Astyanax mexicanus: one gene and its partners. The main gene of each other region encodes a partner of the protein of the gene in region 2 in a complex. Links are inferred from orthologs where the notes say so. Each region holds a gene or a part of one and is shown on either strand. Other genes may lie near its edges. The genes, in order: stx4, vti1b, sybl1 and bet1l.

Region 1 (7,838 bases), on a different chromosome or scaffold from region 2:
TGGAATAGATACACAAATAATAGGCTGAAATTATATTAAATAAGAAATTATAGAGATATTAACTGTCATCTGGCAGTGCCACCCCTAAAACAGTTTTCTGTTTGTTCTCCAGTTCAGCCACTTTCTTCTTAAGAGTTTCAAGGCCTTCTCGGATCTCTTGGACCTGTAGAGCAAGATTAACAATATTAGGATGGAAAGTTGTAAAATTAAAAAAAAAAAAAAAAAAAAAAAAAAATTTAAAAATTAAAAAGCCAAAGCAGTTCATACTGTTGAACAAGAAGATTCGCTTATTTATTCATATTGTCATGTTCTCACTTCTAGACAAATAAATAAACAAGTCCTCTTGTTGTGGACACTTTTTTGGCTTTTTCACTGATGTATTTGTTTGGGTCCTGCACCTGTGTTTTATTGCACACTTGTAAACTTTTAACCATAACTGAACTAAAACCTCTATTTTATTAGTACTGAGATTATAATAAATAAAATCACATTTCACTTAAAACTCTAACTGATAATTAAGATGAAATTAATTAAATGTGAGACTGTTGTAACAATGCGTTTGTTTGGTTTATCTTAACTGACAGAGAAAGAGTTACATGTGCTCTTTGCTTACCATTTGTGTTAAATACATGTGCTAAAATGTTTTACAAGCTTTACCTTTCTGAAGAAAGCCTCATTATCTTTATCTTCCTTTCCAGAGTTTCCAGTGCCTGGTTTTATCATGAGGGCTGTGCCTTCTTCATCTTCATCTGAACCCTCTGCAGGCTATGTGGACATGGAAATGTATGAGGTAAAGAAGAGCTACAGATTAGTTCCCTTATTTTAATGTTTACAGCAACAAATGACCAAGTAAATGAACTAAACACTTAAAATATAGTACTATATATAAACAGATATGAGGTAAATAAGAAGGCTACAAAGGGCATTATCTCTGTATGCTCTAACAATTTTGGCAACAATAAAATGTTAACAAGTGTAAGAATACAGTTTTATGCATTTTTTAGACATGTCTTCTGACATGGTTAAGAAACACTATGATCAATGTCCATCCACAACACCCTGTACCCCTAGGAGGGTTTTGTACTATATATTACGTCTCCTTCTTTATCACACACAATGCTAACAGCAACACTGATTCAGCAAAAACCTGCCCCACACTCGCGCTATAAACACGCCCCAAAACACCATACAACAATAAATATATACAGCTGTATACAAAAACATCAACATAGCCTCTGCACAATGCTGCACACGTGTATGCAATTCCAGAGTGCCAGATTGCATTGAGCATTTTCATGATCAAACACACCTGATTCAACACATGTTATGTGCCAGGGTTAGCAGATCTGTAAAGCAGATGGTTAGCAAACTGTGCAAGAATCTGGCAACCTACCACTGCCACTGCACAGGAGGTTTTCTTTTTTTTTTGACAAATCTCAAACCTGGATAACCAAATCAGTCCCTAGGCCTTTGACCAACTGTCATTCAGAACAGTCACTTAAAATATATTTCCAAGCTTTAGAAATTATCTCTTAAGACTAACCTTAAGACTAACATTTAGCAAACATGTTTTTTTTTCTAGACCACTGTCCAAAGATTTAAAAATGAAAGTAAATGCCCACAAGCAGAAAAAATATACTAGAAAAGTTCAGTTTGTGGTTTGTACAGTGCAGGCTTTGGCAGTTCAGTGGAACAGTGGAGGTTGAGATCTGCTCACATGCAGGTCTGTAAGTGCTAAAACCTGCACAAAGGAAAAAGTGGTGAAGCTGTTGTTGAAAAAAATGCTGCATCTCATGAACAACAACAACAGCATAGTGTACATATGCGAGTAGTGGTTGTGTGTGTGCAGGTGTGTAATTGTTGTGTAATTATTGTGAATCCAAATACATTTTTATTTTCCAAAAAAAATAAATAATAATTAAATAATAATATAATAATTAATAAAAAGAATCTTAAAAATTCAACATATTTTACCTGATGTGTACTAGCTTTATTTAACATATTTAACTACAATTTAAAATGTGTTTAGGCTATACATGCTAGCTTTTTAGTAGAATACTAAAGATTTTTGTTCCCCTTCAGAAAACCAGATAGTTAAATGTACACTGCACAAGAGTGTTTATACAGCTACAATTATATACAAATTACTCACAGGCTGTGGAGGTTTTCCTGTTAAGCAAATAAAATCCTTGGTCCCAAAACATTCTAGGTTAAAACGGATGTGGAAATTCTGTGGCAGCTCTTAGATTTCCTTTCCTCTTAAAAAATCATGTATATGTGTGTGACAGACCTGGATATGCTTGAACACGAGCAAAATAACTAATCAAAAAGAACAGAAAATCAGAGTAACAGCAGGTTAGTGATCTTCAGAGAACCGTAAAATACACTCCACTCATTTAGGTTAGCTAACTAACCCACATACTAGCCTGCCAGAGTAACTATCTTGTTAGCTTAGCTAGCTTGCTAGATAGCTTTTTAGCTAGCTAACTACTTAGATAGTTTGCTACATTCTAATACATTTCTGCACAGCTAAATATTTTAATATAGTTGTCGTTTAAGATTTTTAACGAGGATAATACCCCATAGTTACATAAATATGTTATAATGTCACATTAGCTGCAATGTTGTTTAGCCAGCTAATGCTACATGACAGCAGAGCTAGCTAGCCTCCAGCTAACCTGCTAAGTCCACTAGCGCTAGGCTCCCTGAGTTTAGCTCTCTGACGGGCTCCAGTAGTTTCAGCAGGGCTGCAGTGAAAAGTTTAAGCTAATCAGTTAGTTAACTCACGTTTCCCAGTTCTTTGGTTCGGTCTCGCATCGTTGCTCCTTGTTTAAACCCTCTCTACAGACTCGGGCTCTTCATCTAACGCACTAACTTTGTTGACATCAACAACAGAAGAAGGGAGTTTCCATTCAAAGTCAAAAAGAAACGGCTCTTCCTCAGTGTGTGACACAGCCACCATTAAAGGCACACCATCTCCACCTACTGAGAGCCCTGCCCTCACGCCCTAAACCCTCATAAAGGTCAGCATACAATAATACTGTAACACTTCAGTTTCTGAATCAGTTTCTCTGATTTATCTCCCAAATTCCGAATAAGAATATTGTCATTAGGAGCATTTATTTGCAGAAAATGAGAAATGTCTGAAATAACAAAAAAAGATGCAGAGCTTTCAAACCTTAAATGATGCAGAGAAAACAAGTAACTATTCTTAAAGTTTTAAAAGAAAAAAAAATCATCAAAAATGGTTTTTAATTACAGTTTTCAGGCATCTTGGCATGTTCTCCACCTCCAGTCTTACACACTGCTTTTGGATAACGTTATGCCACTCCTGATGCTAAAATTCAAGCAGTTCAACTTACTTTGATGGCTTGTGAGTATCCATCTTCCTCTTGATTATATTACAGAGTTTTTTTTAATTTGGTAAAATCAAAGAAACCCATCATTTTTTATTTTAGTCTTTTATTTTTTTCCAGAGCTTTATAATATAACCTTCCTTTTGTGTCCGCAGCATAGTTCTTTAAATGTCATATAGACACTGTGTATTAATACTTTCCCAAGATTTAACTTTAAAGCACTCTTTGTACATTTTGTACAATGCGTGGCCATGACTTATAAAGGAGTGGGAATAAAATAATTAAGTCTGCATGGACAAAAGTTATTAAAACTTGGAAACAAGATCCTAATGCGTGGCCACAATTTTTCAAGTCACGGCCATAGTCGTGGTCATCTTTTTTTTTATACATGATGTCACCTTAGGGGCTCTGTAGTTTTTCTATGCGAGTTGTTTTGCCATATCCAGAGTGCTGCCAGGAATCATTAATTTAGGGGTTAAATAACATATTTATGAAAAATGTAGTAATTAATAATAAAAATATATCAAGCTATTTAAACATGGCCAAAAATTGCCTGTCCACCCTGTCATATTGGGATAACCAGCTCCCTAAAAAAGTAACATTTGACATCTGTGACATCACAAACTTCACACTGTTTTATTTCTGCAAATACTTTGTATTACAAAAAAAACTTTGTATTAACTTATCATAAAATGTATAGTGTAAATGACAGTTTAAATAAACATATTAAAACGTGTTAACTAGTTAACAAAAAACAAGAAAAATGTAGAAGGTCTTGTTCTGGCAGTGTCAAAATTCTGTTTTTAGAGCTAGTATATAATCAAACAGCTGTTAAATTACTTTACTTTACTTTCATTGAAGTTAAGAATGTTTTATCTCTCTTCTGTAACATTGCTGTTTTGAAGATGCACGTTTTTCCTTGAACAGCAATGATATACCGTATTTTTCGGACTATAAGGCGCACCGTATTATAAGACGCACTATCAAAGAACGCCTATTTTCTGCTATTTTTCCATACATAGGGCGCATCGCATTATAAGGCGCGTTAAGTGACACTAGAAAGGGTGCCTATATCAAAGTGAACAGGGGTGGCGCCATGTTTCCCTTCCCCCACCGGGGGTGGTCGCTTGCCGGTGGAGCGTCTCAGTATATATAAATCTAGCTCTTTCAAAGTCAAACGAGTGCTGGATATTAATCTACACAGATTCCTCTCCTGAAAACTGTTTTTTTGGGTGAGTAACGTGCTTCAGTTTATTTACAGTAAGCTTAGATTTCCAGATGTCCACTAAGGCTTGCTGCACCAGCGTTAGCATAGCTATCCGCTAGCACGCTAGCTAGTCACCTAAACTAGTAAAGTTAACCCAAACTTAAACGACAGCGTTACACTGAGTAATCCTGCATGTTCTGGTAAGACAGTGAGATATTAGCTAGCGATTCGTCCCCCGTAGCTTGTTTTAACACTGTAAACAAGCAGATTACAGGCTGATAAAACTCACCTCTGAGAGAGTTAGCGCTTAGCATCTAGCTAATGCTAGCCAGGCAAAGCAGCACAGACTTACAGGCCGATAACTCACCTCTGAACGGTGAACGCTTAGCGATTAGCATCTAACTCTAATAATACTGCTCCAGCAGTATTAAAAGTGCTAAATTTAGAAAATACTGATCTCTGAACAGTGAAAAAGCTAGCTAGCTAAGCGGTTAGCATCTAGCTAATGCTATTGCTGCTCTGCACGGAGTGTGTGTTTACTGCTCCTTACACCTGACGGGTAAAATTTAGATAATACTGATCTCTGAACAGTGAATAAGCTAGCTAATGCTATTTGCTGCTCCAGCCTCGGAGCTGCACGGCTCTGGACTCTGTATAGCACTGAAACTCTGTATAACGCTGCACGGAGTGTGTGTTTACTGCTCCTTACAACCTGACGAGTAAAATTTAGATAATACTGATCTCACTGAATAAGCTAGCTAGCTTAGCGGTTAGCATCTAGCTAATGCTATTGCTGCTCAGCCTCGGAGCTGCACGGCTCTGGACTCTGTATAGCACTGAAACTCTCTATAACGCTGCACGGAGTGTGTGTTTACTGCTCCTTACAACCTGACGAGTAAAATCCATACAAAAGGCGCACCGTATTATAAGACGCACTGTCAATTTTTGTGAAAATTAAAAGTTTTTAAGTGCGCCTTATAGTCCGAAAAATACGGTACACGGTTTATTTAATCTTACAAAAATCATACGAGACGTATTCTCTTTAATACATGATTTTTTTTATTATTATTTTTCAAACACCGGTAAAGTAATTATTTTTATGGAATGACATGTCATAACATAAAAAAATAAGAAAATACAAATGTGAGTATAACCCATAACTATTGTAGCTTATGCTTATTGCACATTATTTTTGCTGCCTCCAAAACTTGCTGACAATAAATATATATTTTGTCCAAGAATACATGAGAACTTCTGCTACTGAAGTTCTCCAAAGGCCATAAGTCCCCAGATGTGGTGCCTTCTAGTAGCCTAAATAGCACATTCATACAACGAAAGCCGTGAGTTCATTCACAAGCCAGTTTTCCATCAAATGAGGACAGAGTGATGGCAAATGCTTGCAGAGCACACATGGGGAAGCTGTAGTCCATGGAGAAAACATCCTCTGCCACTCTTCCAAACTGCATTACAATGTACTCCTCTGGACAACACAGAAGAGAGAAACAAATATTACAGGCTTATTTTACAAACATCTGATAACTCTTTTTACATTCATGAAAAAAACATTATCATGGCCAGGTTTCAGTGTCTTTTCAAAGTGCCTCATGGTGAGCATTTATATCCTGTCCTTGCTGTGGAGCAACACACTGCCCCAAGTGTTAGTGTGATTATCTGATGAGCCATTGAACAGTCAGACACCCCAGTAGTGATATAAAGAGAACTATCAGCTTATCAATATGTGCAGAACATCCTGCAGCCACATGTGTTGTGGAGGGTTTCCAACAGGTATTTTTCAGCAGGATAATGCTCACCCACACACTGCAAGGGTTTCCCAGGAAAGTCTCTGCCAGATTACAACAATTCCTGGGAATTTCTGGATATAGCCTCTTTTTTCAACTGTGGTTTTGTAGCCTTTAGCTTGCTAAGCAGAATAAGGTAGGTAAAGGTAAAACTTGTTAATAGATGCTCAGTAAAAACACAACTTATATGTCATAAGTTTGAAAAAACAAAAAAAATATTCTTCTAGGTTTGAAACCATTAATACATTAAGTCAGTAATTTGTGCTGCAAAACTCAATCTCACACCTTGAGGGCTCATGTCACACTTCACTTAATCTAAAATAGTAATGGAACGTTCCTTAAGGTTGCCTCTGGGTTCCCCCACATGTAAACTGATGCAACGTCTATAAAGGTTTGTTTAAACAGTATTAGAACATGCAGAATGTGTGTGTTTCCCCTACTAACCGTTATCAGGATGAACAATCTGGAAGTTCTTCACAGATGCCTGTGTCACTCGGCCATGGAAATTGAGCACATACGATTGAGTCTGCTCGTTCCAGCTGGGTGACTTATTCACCAGACACACCAGATTCTCCTTATTTCCATTTTCATAACGAGTGAGGAGAGATTCGATATCCTGCGAGAGTGAAGAATTAAAGAGAGGCTGAAGAAGTGAGATCAGGTGCCCACAAAGAAACAGTAAGGGAGACTGAGAGTGAGGAAGAATGAAAGTGAAATGGAATTATACAGGGCAGATTTACAGAAAACATTACTTACGCTTTTTGGACGAATACTGACTCTTTCGTCATTCTCATGCATGCCAGGAATGATCACTGTCATTTTCCTGGGGCCTTTAAAGCCCAGAATGTTTTTCTCCTGTTTGATGGGGAATAATGACAGTGACAAATAAAATGGAAGTAAAAAGAGTAATTACTGCATCCTGTAATTCAGTATACATTAAATAATGTTTTTTTCTTTTTATTATATGTTTTTAAGTATTATAATAAAATATTGACCACAAAGTTCCTTATGACATGTTTAACTTACATAGCATATTGCTGCAAGCTCTTGCCGAAGTGATTCACTTTCCTTAATAAACTGCTTCCTTTCTGGGTTTTCTCCATTATCATATACAGTGAATTTAGTCCCTAAAACATTTGACCTGCAATGAGAAAAAATCAATCATTAACAAACACGTTCTTCCTTTGCAAAGAGAACTAGGGTTAGAAAAGCAGATGGAAGGATAAGATTAATGACCTGAGTTTGCCTATATAGCTGCTTGTGTCTCTGGATAAATCAGTAGGATCAGTGGAGATCAGATAATTGGACGTTGTGCTTTTCTTACGTTTTCTTCCAGCCATGAGAAAAACCTGAGAAATATAGAATGAAAAAATAACATTGTCATTAGATACTGAGGAATTACTACTTTTAATTAATACAGTCATAAAAATGCTATGAGGTAGTTTAAGGAATTGGGATAGGGTAATGTATTTAATT
Region 2 (7,432 bases):
TGGTGTGATACTCCTGCACTACAAGTTGCATATCAAGTTCAGTGGCTTTTATTGTCATTCCATCTCAGTACAAGTACAGAGTGTCAAGAAATGATGTTTCTCCAGGACCATGACACAAATTAGAACAAACAGTATGAGACAAGACAGCATAAAGCGCACATGTGTAAATATGGGTGTGCCTTATCGTATCATAAGCATTCATTTCAGCAAAAATTCTGACACAAGAAAAAATTCAATAGCGTGATAATAGTAATGTTCTTCAAAGCAGTCTATTTTGTATTTTTTTTTGCTATTTACTGTATTTACTGTTATTTATTCATTTTTTTGCACTTTATATGCTACACTTTAGTTTTGTGGTAAACTGTTGTTGTTGCATTTCTTTCCTTTTTGTTACACTACTATTTTATACAAAATCAGGGTCTTGGTAAGTTACTGATTAAAAAAATCACAAACATTTTTTTTTGTTTCTACTGCATGTATGAAATTCTTATATTTATACTAAATAAACTTTGATACTTGGGTTGAATACAGTGTTAAAGCAGCAAACAGGTACAGACGGGGCGCATTAATACTATTTGTGAAACACTGGGCAGGTTTTACCAAAAATTTAGATTTACAGACATATTATGTAGTCTATATCATCATATAGGAGTCATTAAGTCATTGGTAATTCTGACATAACATAAATGACAACTGCCAGATTCACATTATGTCAAAAGTCAAAAACAGCTGCAAATGCTGTAAAATTAGTTACTCACCACTTCCTCTGCCTCCCCAAGACGTTCATCAAACACTCTCACTAACTTCTTCTTCTCTTCTAAAGAACAGAAAAGAAACACAAACATAATTTGTATTACAGTAACTGCACATAATATATTTCATACATAGTCATTATTGTATATTAGAACATAGATCATTTAAAGTATCTTTCAAACGTGAGTACAACCCTCACATTTTTGCAAAGTTTTATTATAGCTTAAGTTATACCTAAAGATAAACACTGATACAATGTAAAGTAGTTAGTGTACAGCTTGTATATCTGTGTACATTTGCTGTGCTCTGAAAATAACTCAACACACAGCTATTAATGTCTAAACCACTGGCGACCAAAGTGAGTACACTCTTAAGTCAAAATGGAATTGTTAGTGTAACAAGGTCTCAGGTGTGAATTTTTGGTGGTTTTGCTCTCACACATTCTCAAAGTGGCCACTGGATATTTAACATGGCACTTTACGGGAAAGAACTCTCTGAGGATCTGAAAAAAAGAACATAAAGATGGACTAGGCCAGTGTTTCTCAACCAGGGTGCCGCGGCACCCTGGGGTGCCGTCTGGCTTCATCGGGGGTGCCGTCAAAATATTGCGCCTCACGTGCATATTTCCTTTCCAGAGTCAGCTCGTGTCGGGGTGTGTCCCAATTCACAGGCAGCATACTATGAAGGATGCGACCCACAGAGGCGGTGGATTACTGCGCAGCTGTGACGCAATCTGTCTTCGAATACAGCCTCTGAAGGATGCAGCCCCTAAATTGGGAAACACTGTAAAGTTTTTGTCCCCCACGCGATGCACGCGCTATTTTATGTCAAATTCCGCCAGCAACACCCCTCGTTCTCACCTGAAGTACTGCGCCAGCACATCACCCCAGTTCTCACCTGAAGTACTGCGCCAGCACCCCCCCCCCCCCCCTTAAACTGGGGTGCCTTGACATCTCGCATATATTTAAAGGGTGTCGTGATATAAAAAAGGTTGAGAAACACTGGACTAGGCTACATGAAGATAGCCAAAGCCCTAAAATTGAGCTGCAGTATGCTTGCCAGTGATATCCAGGCATTTAACAGTACAGCCTACACTCAGGACAGTCCACGCCAAAGTCAAACAAAAAAGCTAAGATTTCCATTGGTTTCCAGTGGTTGTCAATGGTTTCCAGTGGTTATTAGAAGGTAGCGTCTTCTAAAGATGAGCATTGTGGTGGGAGTGTCATTGGTTTTGGGCTATATAAGGTGCTGCTAGCTGTAAGGAGTGACAGTCCTTCGGAAACTGGGACGCAGGACAGTATCCTCCGCAGGACACCTCCAAGACAATTCTGACTTGCTAATAAAACTGAATATAAAGGTGATGGACTGGCCCAGCGTAGGTTCAATATAGGATACAATTTTAAAGCTTTGCAATTATGATGCCAATTGAACTTTAAACCCTTTCTAATAAATATTCGGGTTGAAAAATACATTGCAAGAACGTTTTCCTGAATGAATACAAGTTACACTATAAACACTCAAATTATTCATTAAATCAATTCCAAAAAAACACTAGGAAAAGCAATGGCCTACTGTACGTGGATTTGTTTGGGATATTATAGTTAAATTGTACAGGCTGAAAGATGACCCCTGCTAGACCCCAGGCAAAATGTTTCCACACAACAACTCTCAAGGGTCATTCACCATTGGAGATTTATTTCAATATATTTAATTATTTTCTAACAAAACATTAAAGGCTTTTCAGTCATAATACTTTATCAAACTGCCTCTAGTTCATAGTCAGTATAAGTAGAAAGCCCCGAGATATGCAATTGCAGGCAGAGGATGGCAAAAACAGGCTTGAAACCTATCTATCTACAGGTTCTGATTGTTGTATTTCAGTGAATATATAGTTAAAGCTGGGTGTTGCTTACTGACCTGTGAACTGTGTAAGTTAGTTAGCTAAATATATAATTTTGGTGATTAATAAATGGAATAGCTGGTGTAAATAGTATAAATACCGCCGTGGCTCCGCAGCACTCGTTCAGGAATCAGTTTCACTTCATCGTATAAAGATTTATACATTTCATGAAGTTTCTCAAACTCCTCCGACGACATTTTGCCCCTTTCTTCACTGCAGCCGAGAGGCCTTAATATTTTACACTTAAATAAAGATAATCAGCCGCTCTAAACCATATATAACGCTATATAAATCAGTTTACACCACCGGTAACTCCCAGCTCTCTCTGCTTCACAATAATAAACACAGCGAATCAACTCCGCTTCCTCATCCCACCGCGTGACTATAGGAGCCCTGAGAACATGCCTGCATAATAAAACTCCGCAGTGCGGACTGATCGGCCTGTGGGGACGAGCTGTAAAACACTGCAGATATTATATTACATTTCTAAACAAAGTAATAATAATAATCTAAAGTTTGCACTGAAATTTGTAACGACATTTTCTGCGGCGACTCTCAGCGTCCTTAACAAAGCAGCGCATTGTGGTCTATGTAGTTCAATCAAAGAGTCTAAAATGAATTGGTTCAAATGGAGCTAAATCGGAGAATAACGGTGTTTTTCAAATTTTATACTGTAACATGTACTTTTCTCATACATTTTCTTAACACATAACCATATCATATGATTTTTAAAACGTTTAAATTCAAGTTATAAGCCTTTCAAGCCTCCAGCATCGGCTTACCAAAAGGTCAATCAGTTGTAGTGTAGCATTATCCAGACCTGAGTTCTAGAGACCCAGGCTTGAGAAAGTGCTCTATAAAAAAAAAGTGACTTGAGTAGAGCACAAGTGGAAGTAATAAAAAACATTTTTTGTACCTAAGTATTGCAAGTAGTTTATTGTAAAATGTAGTACTGAAGTACTAAAAGTAAAATTCATTCCCTGAGGACTTACTCCCGTGCTCTCTCTAGCGGCTGAAATAGGAAGTGGGCAAATTCAACATAGGCTTAGGTTCAATGTTTCAAAGAAATGTATAATTATGAACATATTATAAACATATTTTAAACGTACTGTTTAAAAAAAACAATCAAATTAATATTTTTCAGATTCGGCAACTTGTTTCATTGATTTGATAAATAATTAATTTAATTTATTAAATTATCTCCTCAATTTAGTAAATAATTATCTTCATTTAGTCCCCACAGGTTAACTACAGATTTTTCTTTAATGAGGGACCAGTTTATTAAATTGAGGAACAGAAATTTGTTTATTAAAGTGAGGGAATTGTTTAATAAATTAAGGAAGCAGTTTATTAAATTCAGGGACTGCACTGTCAAAAGGTTTAAGGAAATTTCTCATCACCAAGCTGATCTTATACTGATCTTTCACTAGTGTACAGCTTGTAAAATAACTCAACACACAGCTATTAATGTCTAAACCACTGGCAACCAAAGTGAGCTGCTGCTGTCTGTAATAATTACATAGTAACACATAGTAACACAGTACTGTACTTTTACCTACTGTACTTGAGTACTATGCTTTTGAATACTTTATGATTTTCAGTTAAGAGAGGTGCTTAAAGAATACTTTACACACTACAACTCCAGTTAGTTTTTTGTTAGAATACAGAAAAATAAAGTAAAAAGTATATATATATATATATACATATACATACTTCGTTACCTGGGTTATCTATACTTTACTAGAGTAATATTTTTTTTAGATAACTTTCAGATGACTATTTTTTCAGAGAATATTCTACTCCTTTCATTACACCTTGTTTTTATTACGGATTTCTATCATTAAAAAAAACTATCCAGATAAATCTATCCATCTAGATAGAGTAGGGTTGCACTATAGGGCCATGTGTCCCAAGGTTTTGTCCTTAATGGCATTTTTTCCCCTTTACATGACCTTTACTTTTACACTTTAAGTATTTTTAAAAGCAGTATTTTTACACTTTTACTTAAAGAGTAAAAAGCTTGAGTTGATACTTCAACTTCTACAGAAGTATTTTAAATCCTACTATGTATAATACCTGAGTAACTCTTTGAAACTGATTAAAAAACTACAGTCCCCATCTACAAAAACTACAATCCCATGATTCCCAGCTGTTTTCTGTGTAGGGCGCTAGAGAAAGTGGGAGTTACCAAATCTAAACAGCCCCACGGATTCGCATCAGCAGTCACACGACTGCAGAGAGGCTTGTTTTTGAGGATTTCTGAATTCTCCTTGTTTTTTTTTTATTGAGTTTTTATTTGTAAAGGATCATGCTCGCTGTCGTGGTGGCAGGTTTCGGATTCGTAGCTATAGTGTTGAGACTGCTGTCCTCCCACATCAGGTAGGCACATCGCTGCGTGTGCTGAGCTTTCTCTGTATTTTAAAGCAGGATTTAAGCGCAATATATTTATATACATATTTACGCTTAATAGAAATGTATAATCCAGCGAGAATGTGCTCTAAATTGTGCTCTAATTGTAAACAGTGTGAAGCTCAGGCTCGCTGACAGGGGCCTTAGTCGGGTATATTAGATAGTAAGCATATAGCTGTGTGTTGTAATTTAGCTAATATACATCTTTTTATGTTTTTTATAAATGTATATCTCATTATACTGGTTGAGAGAGCTGGTTTTGTTCAGTTGAATGGTGCACGACCACTATAGTAACCGCCTCCGCTGAATATGATCAGTTTAGGAAGGCGGCCAATAAGATCTTCCTGGGGGCGGGGCTAATTATGCATGCACAGTGTAGGCGAAGGCTGATTGGGTGCAGAGGACTGCGTATGGTAATTATGTGTGGGTCGTACCACCTGGAGGCATGTGGGGGTGTTCAGAGGAGGTGGGCAGAGAAGGCTATAATGATGCTCTGGATAAAATATTGTATATAAAATAGTGTTTTAATAAAGTAATGACGACTTTATTACGAGACCTTAGTGAAACGTCTTAGTACATTTATTGCCACAAGTACTGAGGTTGGTTTGGCTCTATTCTTCTCATGTTAGTATAAAATTAATTGCCAAGACTGAAATTAAACAAAAAAATATTACAAGAGCTAATATAACAGAATCCTGAATTACTATTAAATGAACATGTGTAATCTTTAAACTTTGTTAAAAAAAGGAATATCATAGAAAAGATACTTAATTTCAGTAATTCAGTTAAAATGTGAAACACATTATATAGATGGATTACACACAGAGTTGTTGATGATTTTGGCTTACAGCCAATGAAAACCCAAAAATCAGTGTCTCAGAAAATTAGAATATTGTATCAGACAAATTGATACTTATGACAGTATGGGCAGTGTGCCAATTCCTGCTGAAAAATGAAATCTGCAGCTTGGACTGTGTGTCTCTCCACTCTTCCTCCAGACTCTGCTCCCTTGATTTACAAATGAAATGCAAAATTTACTGATGATCAGTGATGGTTTGGAGGGTCATGTCATCTGCTGGTGTTGATCCACTGTGTTTTATTATCAAGTCCAAAGTCAGTGCAGTGTTTTCCCACGAAATCTTACAGCACTTCATGCTTTCTTCTGCTGACAACTTTTATTGAGATGTGGATTTCATTCTCCAGCAGGACACTGCCAAAAACACTAGTTGGTCTTTTGTATTATTCTTATTTTCTGAAATACTGACTTTTGGGTTTTGATTGGCTGTAAGCCATAATCATCAACAATAAAACAAGGCTTAATAAAGATCACTCTGTGTTTAATACATCTATATAATATACGAGTTTTACATTTTGAACTGAATTAATGAAATAAAGTAACTTTTCAATGATATTTTTTTTTTTTTAAATGCACTAGTACATATATCACAATTTATCTGGCTTCCTATAATAGTACAGCCTATATTTGTAGTCCAGTAAAAATCTGCAATGCATGTGGTGTTTTCAATCAATCTACTGTAAAAATAGTACATAAATATTGTACAGTCAGGTTAATCCAGTATGAATCTGCAATGTCTTGTAGTAAAAAAGTAGTAGTTATGTAGTGAGGTTAATCCAACATGAGTCTGTAGTGTATGTATAGTGTATAATTTGACAGTAAAAACTATGTACTTCTACACACTTACAAAAAAAAACTAAAGGTTTGTTTGCAGGAAATACGCAGCAGGCGGAGTGTGTCTCTCCACAGCACGTTTGGATGGGAAAACTGCACTGATTACAGGAGCGAACAGCGGGATTGGGAAGGAGACGGCAGTGGACCTGGCCTTGCGGGGTGAGGGAGCACCCCAGCCAAACACTTCACTGTAGAAAAAAACAAAGATATAAAGAGGAGCATTGGAGAATAAAGTGTAGATGTAAAGTGTGTGTGTTATTGTGCAGGTGCACGGGTGATCCTGGCCTGTCGGGATATGGAGAAAGGTGAGGACACGGCCGCAGAGATCCGCAGGCGGGTGGGTGGGGCTAAGGTGGAGGTTCGGGAGTTGGACCTGGCTGATACCCGCTCCATCCGAGTCTTTGCACAGAGATTCCTCAGAGGTAAATTCACACACACCAATTTGTACATCACCAGTGACTGATAAAAGAAACAGGTTTCATCACAAGTTAAAATGTTTGGAACCCTTCTCCCTCAATACCTAGTGCAGTCGATTTTAGCTGTTAGCTGTTGTATCAGAATTTGCATTGTTATTGTTCTCCTCCAAACTTGTTAAGATTAAGTGGTGCAGCATTAAAGGGGAATTCCGGTGTAAAATGGACTTTGGGTGTAATGAAACATGATGATGAATACAAACCTTT
Region 3 (7,350 bases), on a different chromosome or scaffold from region 2:
GTGTAGAAGGTTTAAGTCTGGCCCTTGTAGTTTCTCCTACAGGGTTCATTCAAACCACTACAAAAAAATCTTAATATTAGAGGAAACACTACAATATGATTGATACATTTGTCATTGCTTAATATAAATTAAAATGCTTCCCCTCCGTTTGAAAAAAATAAGTGCATCCCTAGTTAAATTAATAATAATAATAACTTGAGAGAACTGTTTCATCTGAAAAGTGAAAGCAAGTATACAAGACTTCTTCTCTGGAACTAAACAGCAACATTAAGAGAAAGGTGGAACCTGAGGAAGTATACTTTTATAAATGTATAACATAAACTGTTTGATGCAACTTACCATTTGTGCAGCGAGAGTGCTGGAGAACTCACTGTTCATGGCGTAGGGTAAAGCTGTCTGAGCCCGGGAGCCATAGGTGGTTTGGAAACGTTTCTTCACCTCATTGAGGAAGCTAAACGCACGCGACCTTTCAAAATCCTGCACACAAGGGCACACAAAACAACCTCACTCACTGACATTCATATATGATGTAAAACAAATCACTCTAGACTCAAGTTTACTAATAATAAGCATGATCAGGATTTAATGTTAATGATCTGATCACAGATTTAGCTGCAGAACATTCAAGAACAAAAGTCAATCAGGATGGGATTCATACTTACATCATCTGTGATACATAGATAGATGATTCTGTCATGACAGACGTAGTGGAAGAGATAGCTGAAATCGAGAAGAGCCACGGCAATAATTTAGCAAAGTTCACTTGGAGGAAAAAGGCAATATCAAAGGAGAATCCTCCACATTTACAAAAATTCAACCTCTAAATGTAGGAAATTTGCTATTCAAGAGAAACATACAGAATTACAGAGTACCATAATTCTTCTTTGCATTAGTAGAAACCAGATTTCTTAAGAAATTAATGCATTTAAATGCTTCCTTACAGATATCTGTAATATTAAATAGCTATGCATATCCTTGCTGTGCAATGAAAAACATGTATCTCTACAGTGGTGAAAGCAAAAATCATCTACACTTAGAATGTACAGAGCATATACAGGTTTCAAACAATGGACCGAAAAATGTAAAACCTGACAAAAAAAAAAATGCAGCTACATGCTTTTCCAGTGGACAGCTGTGATATGCTGCTTCATGCCTGAGACACTGTTATATTATTATTATTATTTAGCATTTAGCATTATTTACATGCATTAATTGTAGAGACTTTTTGAATGTGCATCAGATATCACTACACCTGGTTCTCATCACCACCATCGTAAAGAATCAAAATCTGTAAATTTTCCAAATGGAAATATGATGGAATTCACCTTAAATAAAGAAACTTGCTGTGTCTTAGTACTACTAGACATTTTAATAGCAAAAATGAAAAAAAAATCTAATGCCTGCAGTCTGTAGGCTGTTCATCCTACCTGCCATGGGAGTAGGTGAGTTTGTTGTTTTCGGACGGGATTTTGGCCAAAATCTGCTCTGTCACCTCAAGAAAGTTTCCACCACACCAGGCATGTTTGGCCAGTATGGTTGTTCCACGAGCCACCACAGCAAAGAGGATTGCCATAGCAGGGACGAGGGTGATGAGGTCCGAATTACTGACTAAAAACTGCTGCAGGTGCTGTAGATAAAAATGTTAAATATAAGTCTACACCACAACATTGTTGCCTGTTCTATGTCTCAATATTAAAACACATACAGCTCTGCAAAAAAAATAAGAGTTTCTGAATTAGTTTCTCTGATTTTGCTATTTATAGGTATATGATTTATTCTATAAACGACCAACAACGTTTCTCCCGAATTCCAAATAAAAATATTGTCATTTAGAGCATTTATTTCCAGAAAATGCAGAGATTTCAGACCTCAAATAACGCAAAGAAAAGAGGATTATATTCATAAAGCTTTAAGAGTTCAGAAATCAATATTTGGAGGAATAAACCTGGTTTTAATCACAGTTTTTATGCATCTTGGCATCATGTTCTCCTCCACCAGTCTTACACACTGCTTTTGGATAACTTTATGCTGCTTTACTTTTCTTTACTACTGCTAATAATAACATGTCTACACATGTCATGTAGTTATGTTATCATTAGCAGTAGCAAATAAAATTAGAGCTGTAACCTAAAATGAGAGTAAAGAATAAGTTAGACCACAGACTAAAACAGCTTGTCATGTTGTATTAATCATTATTAGGGGCAGGTACGCGAAATTACATCTCGTTTACACAATTGTGGTAATTAGCTAGTTAGTTAGCTAGGGTTAAATAAGCTAATGTTAGTTATAGCTCCTGATGAGTCACAAGCTAATATGATAGCTAACGCTAGCTAGCAGCGTTAGAGACCGACAGTGTTTAAAACCAAAAATAGCGCATTTTTCTCGTCACAAAGAAACCCTATTACCAGCACTATCTAACTTTATCTACAGGCTATGATATAAAACACACCACGGACATAATGAAACCGAAACACATAGCGTTAGCATTAGCATTAGCTAGGTTAGCTACCACAACAACAGCCTCTGGAAGCTGCGAGATTCTCCCAGATCCTCCACCCGTTCTCTTTAACACTCCAGCCCCGATCTGCCTTCACTAACCCCGCCAGCACCCCACCAACCACCTCCTAAATTCCTCAGTAATCAGCTACATAAAGATGGCATCTAAATAATACTGCAATAATACAAAATATTACAGCACTTGAACTGTATCTACCGCACATCCCTGCGATCAACCTAATCACAAAACACTCTACCAACTCTACCAGCGTTACTCAGCTAACTAACAAACAAACACAGTTATATTTACATCCAGCTGTTAGTTTATATAAAGCAAATATAGAATAACATATAAACAGAAAATACAGCTACCTGTCACGCTGTTAAATCACGCATATGAGTCCATCCACACGCTGTAGTCATGAAAACAATCCTCCACAGCTCCTGCGAGCTCTTTCCGCATCGCCCAGCTTCACCCAGACCCCGAGCTTCCGCTGCGCTGCCGGGAAATGTAGTTCAACCGCAGGTTCAGTGTAGTTTTTTCTGAAGTGGGTGAAATTATATTATATTTAGGGATGTCAAAATTAACGTGTTAACGCATGCAGTTAATCTGGAAAATGTATTGTGTATTTTTTTAAACGCAAATTAAACATGTGACAAAATTGACAGAGCCTAGGGATGCATTAACAGTTTTATTTAGCATTATTCCACAGTTAGTTCCAACCCTGCAGTGTGATTGCTTGAGAAGCACTCTATGAGTGCTGTTATCAGCCGATAATGCACTGTAACCGAAGCTCTCCATGTATTACTCTGCCAAATACAGATAATCTAGAAATGATGCAGCGCTTACAAGCCAAACAGTGCAGCTACAAACAGAGCAGCAATGGAACTATTTTATTAAAGATATATACATATGCATAATTCCAAAAAACAAAATGAAATTTTCTCAAAATGTTCATTAATTTAGAACGATTTTTTTACATTGTATATATTGAATTTAATATATGTAAGAGTAAATAAGGCCTAAATAGGTCCGATTTTTTTGTACATTTTATTTTATGGATAAAATATTTACTGAGTATGCCTCTGGGAGTCACAACCAGAGCACTTTAAATGTTTTAAAGCCTTATAACTAGAGTTTTAAAGCTTTACAAATACGCTGGTGCTAATGAAACATTTTATATCGTTCTGTGTTGACACTGTTTAGTTTAAATAAATAAAAATATATAAACTCATATTTTTTTAATATAATCTGTTTTCACTATTACTCCATCGGCACTCATACGAATAGCGCTCTCTGGTGGCTGACCATAACTTTCATCATCAACCTGCGCCAGCCTTTACCCGTCCCGTAAACAAACCCGTGCTTGTGTTTGAGTGACACCTGTTTTTTAATATATTATTTTTATTAAAAAGTCCCCGCGCCGAGACGAGCAGCACGCGCATGCACACATAACAATTACAAAAAAAATTATTATTCCCTCCTGGCTGCATTAAAGCAGTTTAAGCTGATGTTTCTGCTGCAGCTATAATAACAGAACGCGTCACTCCTCTGAGCGGAACGTCATAATGCTGCGACACGCGTGCCACGGTCCAGAACGCGAGCATGGCCGCAGCAGATACAGAGAAGAAGCGCGTGCTGGAGATGGTAGGATTAATATATATTTACGTTATATAATCTGCAGTATTAGACAAAAACTAGACACCTCTTCTGATTCACTGTGTTTCTTTTTATATTATTTTTACATTGTAAATTTAATGCTGAAGACTGTATTAAGGCTATACAGGAACACATGCAGAATTATTCTGTAAACAAAACGTGTTAAACAAACCAGAACATGTTTTAAACTGTAGATATGTGGTTCCCAAATATTTAAAGCAATGTATCACCCATAGTTTAACCAACCATGCTGGCATTTCAACGTTAAATGACAACGTTGATGTTAAGTTTGAACCTTTAATAAACCATAGCTCACATTCTGGATGCTCAAAATTGTACAGAAAACTGTATGCCGTTTGGTTTGTCACCTGGTCTTCCACCCTGAAATGCTTTGTATTTCACAGTACTAAATGTAGTCAAATCAAAAAGTGTTATTGTCAATTCTGCATATTTACAGAAAATACAGAGGATTAAAATTACTACTCTCCTTCCTAAAGTTACAACAAATGCAGCAAGATAAAAATAAAAATAAAATATAAAGAATGAGAGACACTAAATGTACAATACAACAGGGTTACAGACATAGACATGGGATACAAGATACACAAATGACAGTACCATTGTAAACAGAACCTATATAAGCAGTAATGCAAATATAGTGGTATAAAATCTTAAGGCTGGTAAAGTACCACAGTTCTAGATTCTTCTAAATAGCCACATTTAGTAGGAATGTCCTTATCACATTTTTTATGCCCTGAGTCCGAGTCATTTGATTTTGAGTTTCTGCCGATACAGAGTGCCGATCAGATACTTTGGCAATGCAGTAAAAAAAACAAAACTGATATTTACAAGTTGTCCCTTAAAGGTTTTTTAAATATGTTTGTAATTATTACTAAAACAACAGTATCGAATTTTTTTTTCCATTTTTCCATCAAAAGCCATTTTTATCACAAAATTAACAAGTTTAAATAAACATTTAAATATGCATCTTTACTTAAATAAACAAACTAAAAATGTCACACAACAGCAATTCTGTGATTAATAAAACTGAAGATTAATGGTCTATTATAAATGAACACAGCACAGACTGCAGACAGTCAGCTGATATTTCTAAACATCATGATGATTTATTTTATAATGCTGGTCGTTCTATTTTTTTTTTGTTTGTTATTTTTTATTTTTGTTATTTTTTTTATAGAGAGACCGTAATAATGGTATGGTTTAGACCAGGCAGACTAGGTTTAGACTAGACTTTTTACCCTATTATCTTATCTATATTACATTTAGATACATTATTACACACAAGAGGTGTGTACACATTTGACTGGACTGATCGTATAATACATAGTGTATAATACACATTTGTTTAGAAAGAGAAGATATGTTACTGATGCAGTTTAACCTCTCTACCACTAGGGGGCGGCGTGCTGTAGAAGATACTGAGTGTATAATTATTAAAATGCGCAGCACTGAAAGTTAATTACCACATATAAAAGCTCAATATGGTAGAATTAGATTATTATAAAATTTAAATTATGTAAATTGTCAAAACAGTGTGTGTCTTTATGTGTAGTTCAGGGTCAAACGTGTTTTACTTGTTATGCATGTATAGTTGTGGAGGAGACTGTAAACAATGTGTAATAAGTCTGTTTTGTATACTGTGAATAAAATGAGAAATGTATTCTTTTTAGTGCAATAAAATCTATAAACAAAATATAAAACGTTTATTACCTTATCCCGGTCTTTGTATATGTGGCCCCAAAACACCCTCTGCAAGTGAGTAAATGAAAACACACATGCAGATGAATTTACAACAGATATCTTAATTTTTATTTTAAAATAAAAATAAAGATGTATCGGTGTATCTGTAAAAAATAAATACACTATAAAAGCAAATAACTTGCATTTTTACCAATTATATAAATAAAGGCAATGAAAAAATGAACACCAATTAATGCTAAAGTATTCTAAAATGAATATAAAAGGAAAATAAAAAAAATAGAAGTTTTTAATTAAGCAAAGTATTTAAAATAAATACTGACTTAAAGCCACTGATGAACATGCTGTAATTGAATCATTATAAAGTGAGAAAAGTGATAAATCTTAAAAATATAAATATATTTGCCCTACATAGAACTTTAAAGCTTTTTACACCAAAATTCTCTACATATCTTATTTTCAATCATATACTAATGCATATTTCGAGCAGGCAATTTTGCAGTTTTGAATTAGAAAGAATAATACTCCTTTATTTGGCCTCCGTGTGCTATTTTTATTCCTCCTTTATCACAGTTACGTGCAATATGCCACAAAAAAATGATAACATGGTTTTCTAGACTTTGATGCTGAGATTGTAGTTTTGCACAGACCGTCTAATTTCCCCACAATTAGAGACTTCAAACAGTCTCTATATGATAAGAGGATTTTATCCTGTTCTGTTAATGGGGTTTTTAATCAGCTGCTCCCTTCATCCACCTTCTTTATCACTGTTTCACTGAGTTTTTGAAAGCAGAACACACCTCTTTCCTGATCTAAACAAAACAATAGAACTGGCATTTGATCAGTGGAGTCGTCTCACTCCTCTCTTTCCCTCCTTTCCTGTTTAGAAACAGCAGCTGACTGTGTTCATTTATAATAGGCCTGTAATTCATCAGTCACGTCTTAAAGCATTACTGAGTTTCTGTTCCTCACTTCATGAAGAATCATGCAGACTGTGAACACTGCAGGTGTTTCCAAAGCACTGGAGGCCGTTTAGTTCTTTGACCACCAAGTGTATTAAATGAGCTTTTCCATCAGATATAGAGAACTGATATTACTGATCTTATACAGCTCTGGAAATAAAAGAGAGCACTTAAAAATGATGAGTTTCTTTGATTTTACCAAATTAAAAACCTCAGGAATATAATCAAGAGGAAGATGAATGATCACAAGCCATCAAACCACCAAACTGAACTGCTTGAATGTTTCCAAAAGCAGTGTGTAAGACTGGTGGAGGAGAACATGATGCCAAGATGCATGAAAACTGTGATTAAAAACCAGGTTTATTCCAACAAATATTGATTTCTGAACTCTTAAAACTTGATTAGGAACTTGTTTTCTTTGCATTATTTGAGGTCTGAAAGCTCTGCATCTTTTTTTTGTTGTTGTTGTTATTTCAGCCATTTCTTATATTTTTTTGTAAATAAATGCTCTGA
Region 4 (7,721 bases), on a different chromosome or scaffold from region 2:
ATGCCCATTTTCTAGTCTGTAACAAATTATTCACTTCAATCAAGATAAAAAAAATTATAAAAGAAAACAAAAATGTTTAAAAAACAAACTTTATTAGTTATTTTTCTTATATACTATATCTACTCTCAGTATTAAACATAACTCTTAGCTACATACTCAACAATTTGATTTAAAGTTCAGCCATATAAGATCAAAGCATTCACACTCAAATCAAGCATGTATGTATGCACACAAAAGAGAAAACATTTAGAAGAACAGAAATTGGTCCATGGTATACTCATTATGTTTTCAAGCATAACAAGTGTCTTTAAAAAACAATTTATTTTGTAATAAGATTGGAATGCATGAAAGAAATATTTTTATAGTTATAAAGTCTTTTGGAAAACAACAGACAGATCTTAAAGAAATTATTTTCAGTTCACTTCACCCTTTAAATATACCAGGTTTAGAACCAGCAAGCCCATTAGTAAAACTGTTTTTGTGTAAACATGAAGAATAGAGTACTGCATTCACACATGTTTGTTTCTCATAAAACTGAGAAGATAATATATAAATATTTTTCAGTTCTGTATTCTCCTGACTAGATAATAAAGCAAAAAGAATGTCAACACCAAGCCTATGGATACATAACATAAAATCTTTCGGTTGTCTCTGCTGGAGCGGACCATTGTGGAAAACCTCTTCACGCTCCCTGTCAACAGTCCAGTTGCACTGAGGAAGTTTGAGTCCTAAAGGAAGATGATACAAAAAATTACCATATTTACAGACCTCATGTTTCCATTACATGAAACTATACTGTAAAAGATTGGCTATTCAGACCTAAGAAACACTTTTCTAAACATACATTTGATCTTGAACATAATATATCTAGTCTTAGGATATATTACAGCAGTGTTTTTTAGATAAATTCTAAATTGAGTCAGAGAAAACACACACCATGCCATCCAAGTATGAATTCTGTTCGTCAGCCTCTTTGTCAATTTCAAATGCCAGCTGTGAATGACAAAACAGATAAATAAAAACAAAGTACATTTATAAATTTAGCCCAATCATGAACACATTGTTAATTATTTAGACAGACTGTCTTCATTGACTGATATAAGTGATTATAACATACCGACTTCAATCTAGATACTTTGGTTGCCAGATTGTCAGCCATGCGTTTGTTTTCTTCATCCAGCATGTCATCTACAGCCCCATGTCCTAGGAAGACAGTGGTAAAAGATGCACATACATTTTATAGTTAAACACAAAAGTAAATAATACTTTTTTTTAATTAACCATAAAATTATTGGATTACCTTTTTTGTGCAGGTAACATGTGATTCTATCAAGGTGACAATAATTCTAAGAGACTAAAAATGTTCCCTCAATTTAGTGAATTGTTCTCTTGATTTAATAATATTTTTGTTCACTGTAATAAAGATTCCCCCTATTTAATAAAGCATTCACTCTAAATAAAAAATCCATTCACTCAATTTAATAAATTGTTTCCTCAGTTTAATTAAAGTGCTTCCTCTTAAAGGGACCCCAAACCATATTTTTTTCATTAATAGCTGAAATTAATAGCTAAAATGAAAACAAACCTTCTACATATATATATATATATATATATTTTTTTATAAACATTTCCTAACCTTTAAAAAACTCTTTTATTGCCATCATTTCTGCCTCTGCAGCACCCTCTCAGGTTCGACTGTTATAGGTGAGGATGATGTGTCGGTGTACTTTGGTTCACAGACACTCACAATCTGCAAATCAGTCAATCAATAATACTGCCCCCTACTGAGGTCCAACATCTACATCTCACCGCTATTAGAGGCACACTGCTCAGCCCAATCAGCTCCTCCTTCTGCCCACCCCATCACCCAGTGCCCCTCCCATTTTGGCAAACAGCTGATGCTTTTGTCTCAAAAGTATCTGAGACACATATACAATGTGTTATTTTAGTGTTTCCTTTATGTATTTATTTATTCTTTGAAAAATGTAATATTTAGAGACTTACAACAATCCATTAATTTAATAGAATGTTATTTTGATTTAATAAAGCATTTCCTTAATAAAAAAAAAACATTCACTCAATATATTAAACTGTTTCCTCAATTTAACAAAAGGACTCCTTCTTAACTGAACAAATAGTTAATTTTATAGAAGGAACAGATGGTTAAAATGAGAAAACGATTTCTAACATTTAGGGAACAGTTTATGTCTATATTTTATTTAGGTGTTTTGGAGGACCAGAAATGTCAAAATAAAAAATAAATGAATTAACTAATTAGCTAGTGTTTGTTTACTCCTTACTTCTTTTTTGTTTCTTCATTTCCTTTTTATTAATTAATTAATTAATTATATTGGCAGTTCTGGTCCTCCATATTTGAGAAGCAGATTATATTATATGCTCTATTTTTCACCCAATTTAAACAACATAACGCTTGACAGTGAAATTACTAATTATAATTTATAAGAGCCTCGTGTGAATGTTTGTACAGTGGATTTGAGTGAATCTGGAATCTTGACAACAGGATCCTCTGATATGTTAACACAGCTAAAGCTAGCTAACCCAACCAGTGTAAATGCGCAGATGAGCTAATACACCGTGTAAATGGCATTTCATTATGATCGAAGAACATTAGAGGTAAAGAACTGATACTTTAGTGTCAGAAGTAGAATAAATACGGTGAATTTCAGTTTGATGTAAACTGATAAACTGAGGAGATCCAGTTAGCCCTCTCTAACTTTAAAAACTGCTGTATAAGAGGAGCGACGTGTCACTCACCCCTGTTCCAGTGATCAGCCATCTTTACAGACGATCCTTCACTATGAGAGTCCCGCTGTTAAATCACAGTGACGGAGAAGAAACCTGAATAAAATCAGTCTTAAAAGACACTCAGATACCAATAGTCACTCGTATGAGACCGTTTCGTCACAATCCACAACACGGCAGGAGTCTGTGTGAGATCAGAGCCGGGTTATAGAGAGTTCACACTATACCTGTCTCTCCTGTTATATCAGAGAATTACCGCTGGCCGCCAGAGGGAGCCCGCGAGGGAGTCCTTAATGAATGTGGTGAGTGGAGCTAAACGGCTAAAAACTTAAATTAAAATAGTGTCTAACTATGTACCCAGGATATTACCATAATTATAGAAAGAGAAATAGAGTATTTTGCTACAAAAAAGGCTAAGAAATGTTTGAATGGTTTTCTTTTTTTTTGGACAACAAACTCGCTAGCATTACTGCTACTGTGGTCTGACTGGTTGGTGAGCTTTTGATGGAGATTCAACAAAGGCGTCTTTAAAAGGTTTGTAACTGCAGTTTGAAAGCGTTTAAAATCATGTGTGCGGTGCTGAAACATGTGATATTGTTGTGAGAAATTAGTGTTTGTTGAAAATTAAAAATATAAAACTTTTATAAAATCAGCTTTCGGCCGGGAGCGCCCCCTAAAAAGCCCGGAAATGATTCTCGACTGGGTATTCTCCTCTCTATCAGAGGCTCTTCTGCTGGCCAGGCGTTTTGAGCACAGACATTTATACATAGATGCCACATAGAGCATAGACATGTATATATAGACGCTACATAGCCTGCCGCCATATTGGAGGAGTCAACTATGAACCCATGAATGCATTTATTAGTATTGTGTGTGTGTGTGTGTATGTGTATGTGTAAGCATGTATATATGCGTATGTATGTACATATAAATATAAAATTAATTCATGTATACACTTATTAATATGTCATACCATATGTCTGTCTTTGTTAAAGAGCATAATATAAAGTATTTCAGCTTGAAATCACATATTCGTAATGTGTGGCAGTGTCCTGAATCATTACTACATCTCTGCTGTTTGTAACAAACCAAACCGTGTGAAAATCGGGTATAAATTGGTAGATTTGTGATTATTATAGGTGTATTAAACACCTTTCACTAATAAATGCACTGGGGGCGCATGATTGACTCTTCCAATATGGCGGCCACGCTGACACGCCAGTTTCATCTATGTATTACTATCTATGGTTGTTATATCCTGAGCGAGGAGGCGCGGGGGGTTGTGGGATATGTTGGTCCTCTGGTTGGGGGATGAGATGTGGAGCTGCGGCGGCGCTCCGCTCAGAGACACTGCTGCTGCTGCTGATCATCATCACAGATGCGTTGCATAAGATGCTCAGCTAGATAACGCGAGCATCCTCCGTAAAGAACCCGCCAGACAGCTCTCTCGCGCGCATGAGGATGATCTTAACTTCATTTATTTCCTGGAATTATTCTGTATTTTGTTGCGAATTTCGCGGGTTAAGTATTTCAGCGTTATTAACTCGAGCTTACATAGGAATTGTTTATCTATGATGGGGGTTTATGGCGAATGGCGGCTGGATGACCATCCATTCAAATAAGCGAGCTAACCTGGCTATCTGACCTCTCTTAGGTATCGATAGCTAAACAGAGAGCACTAGATAAGGCAACTTGGCGATTTTGTATGTTAGCAAGCTAAACCTAGCTGCCAGTGTTTATGTGATTAAATAAAAACTGTATTTTGTTGTTGTTGTAGTTAATATCACACTGCGCACGTAGCAAGTGAGTCCTGTCGAGTGCTGTGTTTAGACTGGTGATAATCTGCTGTTTTAATTAGTAATGCCTCAGTTGTAATACAGCGTAGATTTAACGATTTTTATTTATCTGATTTTTATGGTAAAACAATGGTAAGATTTATTACCGACGAAAATAAAAAAGGCTTCTGTAAACGTGGATAGATTAAATCCAGTGAAATCTGATACACCTGGATGTGAGTGGGTCACGTTCATGCTGTTAAACTAAAGCTGGAGATAATAATATTAATCTCTCTTTGGTGCTGTAATTCCATATCTCTACTCTTGAGTGGATAGCTGGATTAAAAAAAAACTGGGATATAATCTGTCAGTAATTGAACCATAGTATTTTGAGTGATAGCCTAGCTATGTTTTGTAGTGGTCTTTACTCAAACCTGTTGTTTCACTGGTATTGTTGAGCACAGTGAAATTAAACTACTGTTTCAAGAACAGCATTTCCCATGAATAACAGAATAACTAATTTAATTTGTAACTTTGTCATTTAATAACGTAACTTAGTCTTTTCTCAAATAGAAATAGATTGATTTCATAAAACAACCTTTAAAGTAGACACTATTATGATAAACTAATAAAAAAAAACTGAATAGTAGTTTATTTAGTGTTTTATTGTATAGTTTTTAAGAGCAAACCTCTAAAACTCAGCAATGTTGGCCCGGAAAGGCCTCCTGCCTGATGGATTTCTGCTGACAAGACTGGCTGAAGATGCCACACAGCCCAACCGTTTCCGGACCAAATCGCAGCGAGCTCGCTTCATCACCAAGAGCGGATCCTGCAATGTTGCTCATAAGAACATACGAGAACAGGTAGAGCACTTGGATCACGCAGTCATTACTTTATAAAATTGTTTTTGCTATGCATTCACATCATTCTATAACCTGTTAAACTGATTCTTGATAAAGTGAAAAATGTCTGTATTTCACTATTTTATAAAGCTCTTCTTTGATAAAGATGCATCAGTATGAATTATTCGCATACTTTTATTTCTCCTTTCAGGGTCGGTTCCTCCAGGATGTTTTCACCACAATGGTCGACCTCAAGTGGCAGCATTCGCTGCTCATCTTCACCTCAGCATTTCTCTGTTCCTGGATGCTCTTTGCCATGGTGTGGTGGCTCCTGGCATTTGCCCACGGTGACCTGGAGCCACGTGACCCCCATGATCGTGGGCATGTTCCATGTGTCACTGCCATTCACTCTTTTACCTCAGCATTCCTCTTCTCGATCGAAGTCCAGGTGAGCAAATGGCTGCATAGACTGAAACTTTGGTGGACAGTCTTGTACTATTTAGATGTCTACACTCATAGCAAAAGGGTTCTATATAGAGTTGAAAAGGCACATATAACAACCCTAACAATACTAGGGATGCACCAAATGTTCAGAACCCTATATTATTTGGCCAAAAAAGAGCACTTTTGGTATTCTGCTAAATAAGTGAAAAGATTGAATAATTTGTACTGAACAATATTGTTTGTGTGTCCTCTAGAATGCTAAACATGTTCAGAGTTTAGTGTGTTCAGTCAAAATTTTTTATTTTTTTTTTAAACCCAGACAAAAATGTGTTACCTATTTAATTTTACTCACTGATGAAAAAAGTGGCAAAATTAATGATAACCAATGAAAAAAATGTGTTGGCTTTCTGAGCAACCCTAAACAATCTTGTATTTTTTATTTTTAATGTTAGGTGACCATCGGTTTCGGTGGGAGGATGGTGACTGAGGAGTGCCCACTGGCCATTACCGTTCTGATCATCCAGAACATTCTGGGACTCATCATCAATGCAGTTATGCTGGGCTGTGTGTTCATGAAGACAGCTCAGGCTAATCGACGAGCAGAGACACTCATCTTCTCTCGCAATGCTGTCATCGCACCACGCAATGGCAGGCCCACGTTCATGTTCCGTGTTGGAGACTTGAGGAAGAGCATGATAATTTCTGCTACCATTCAGCTGCAGGTGAGGAAGAGCTGAGCTGTTTATTATAGTCTATTGCAGGTAAAGGTGCTCTAGTTCCACGAGGTGGATGTTGGTTGATCGTGTTCTGTCACTCTGTGCTCAGGTCATTCGGAGGACAGTAACAGCAGAAGGGGAGGTGATTCCAGTCTGCCAGCTGGACATCCAGGTGGAAAACCCCCTCAGGAGCAATGGCATCTTCCTGGTCTCACCACTGATCATTAGTCACACTATTGAGAGAGGAAGCCCACTTTATGAGGTCTCTGCCCAGTCACTGCCCAATGAGGACCTAGAAATCATTGTAATTCTGGAAGGTAGGTTGTTTTCTGGCCTGTGTGATGTCATGCATGCCATTGCATTTAATATAAGGGAAATTCATGTGACGTAATGAAATCACTACTTTGTTGTGCTATAAAAACTTAAATTCTTAAATTGATATTAAAAAATAATAAAAATGAAAAATATGCTTAGTAAATTAAAATTACATATTAATGCACAACAATTATCATTAGAGTTTACAGTGGCCACTGTCTTCTATTTACAAAGATGAGAGAGGTCTGTAATTTTCATCATAGTTACACTTGAGAAAAAAGAGAAAAAAATACCATTGTAGGACTTTTGTAAATTATGGTGGAAAATAAGTATTTGGTCAGTAACAAACAAGCGAGATTTCTGTCTCTCACAGACCTGTAACATCCTCCACTTCTTACCTGTATTATTTGCACCTGTTTGACCTCGTTATCTGTAGAAAAGAAACCTCTCCATCGCCTCAAACAATCAGACTTCAGCTCCACCATGGCAAAGACTAAAGAACTGTAGACATACAGGATCATTAATTATCTCCCTCCATCTGGGGACCCACGCAAGATCTCATCCCATAGGGTCAAAATGATCATGAAAACGGTGAGCAGAAATCCCAGAAATACACAGAGGAACCTAAAGAATGACCTGCAGAGTTGGGACCAAAGTAACAAAGGCAAACAAAATATGGATGATCCAGAAGAAAACTCAACTGGTCATGTTTAGAGAAAGAAGAATACTGAGTTGCATTCCAAAAACATAAGGGTGGAAACAGCATGCTTTGGGCTGTTTTTCTGCAAAGGGGCAGGACGACTGATCTGTGTTAAGGGAAGAATTTATGGGGACAAATATTGTGAGATTCTAAGCCAAAACCCTAC

What was found.
Region 1: vti1b (region 2) and stx4 share a complex: the UniProt entries of both Homo sapiens proteins name them as parts of the SNARE complex. The link is inferred for Astyanax mexicanus from reciprocal best matches to the Homo sapiens genes VTI1B and STX4.
Region 3: vti1b (region 2) and sybl1 share a complex: the UniProt entries of both Homo sapiens proteins name them as parts of the SNARE complex. The link is inferred for Astyanax mexicanus from reciprocal best matches to the Homo sapiens genes VTI1B and VAMP7.
Region 4: vti1b (region 2) and bet1l share a complex: the UniProt entries of both Homo sapiens proteins name them as parts of the SNARE complex. The link is inferred for Astyanax mexicanus from reciprocal best matches to the Homo sapiens genes VTI1B and BET1L.

What each region holds. Positions count from the first base shown.
Region 1 is NC_064422.1:28,696,852-28,704,689, reverse strand, and holds the start of stx4 (syntaxin-4), read right to left. Parts: upstream 3,002-7,838; 5' UTR 2,818-3,001; coding exon 2,788-2,817; intron 2,724-2,787; exon of another isoform or gene 2,153-2,723; intron 766-2,152; coding exon 658-765; intron 164-657; coding exon 64-163; intron 1-63. Other genes in the region: si:dkey-220f10.4 (tubby protein), read right to left, coding at 5,910-6,043, 6,807-6,978, 7,119-7,217, 7,389-7,503, 7,599-7,711. UniProt on the Homo sapiens protein: Plasma membrane t-SNARE that mediates docking of transport vesicles. Necessary for the translocation of SLC2A4 from intracellular vesicles to the plasma membrane.
Region 2 is NC_064414.1:8,057,271-8,064,702, reverse strand, and holds the start of vti1b (vesicle transport through interaction with t-SNAREs homolog 1B), read right to left. Parts: upstream 3,021-7,432; 5' UTR 2,851-3,020; coding exon 2,754-2,850; intron 818-2,753; coding exon 759-817; intron 1-758. Other genes in the region: rdh12 (retinol dehydrogenase 12), read left to right, coding at 4,962-5,032, 6,781-6,911, 7,019-7,174. UniProt on the Homo sapiens protein: V-SNARE that mediates vesicle transport pathways through interactions with t-SNAREs on the target membrane. These interactions are proposed to mediate aspects of the specificity of vesicle trafficking and to promote fusion of the lipid bilayers.
Region 3 is NC_064417.1:2,196,114-2,203,463, forward strand, and holds the start of sybl1 (vesicle-associated membrane protein 7), read right to left. Parts: upstream 3,005-7,350; 5' UTR 2,869-3,004; intron 1,628-2,868; 5' UTR 1,574-1,627; coding exon 1,428-1,573; intron 721-1,427; coding exon 663-720; intron 478-662; coding exon 340-477; intron 1-339. Other genes in the region: polr1d (DNA-directed RNA polymerases I and III subunit RPAC2), read left to right, coding at 4,103-4,144. UniProt on the Homo sapiens protein: Involved in the targeting and/or fusion of transport vesicles to their target membrane during transport of proteins from the early endosome to the lysosome. Required for heterotypic fusion of late endosomes with lysosomes and homotypic lysosomal fusion.
Region 4 is NC_064409.1:47,838,360-47,846,080, forward strand, and holds bet1l (BET1-like protein), read right to left. Parts: upstream 3,002-7,721; 5' UTR 2,798-3,001; coding exon 2,776-2,797; intron 1,204-2,775; coding exon 1,118-1,203; intron 994-1,117; coding exon 937-993; intron 729-936; coding exon 561-728; 3' UTR 96-560; downstream 1-95. Other genes in the region: kcnj11l (potassium inwardly rectifying channel subfamily J member 11, like), read left to right, coding at 5,243-5,401, 5,592-5,828, 6,277-6,546, 6,650-6,857. UniProt on the Homo sapiens protein: Vesicle SNARE required for targeting and fusion of retrograde transport vesicles with the Golgi complex. Required for the integrity of the Golgi complex.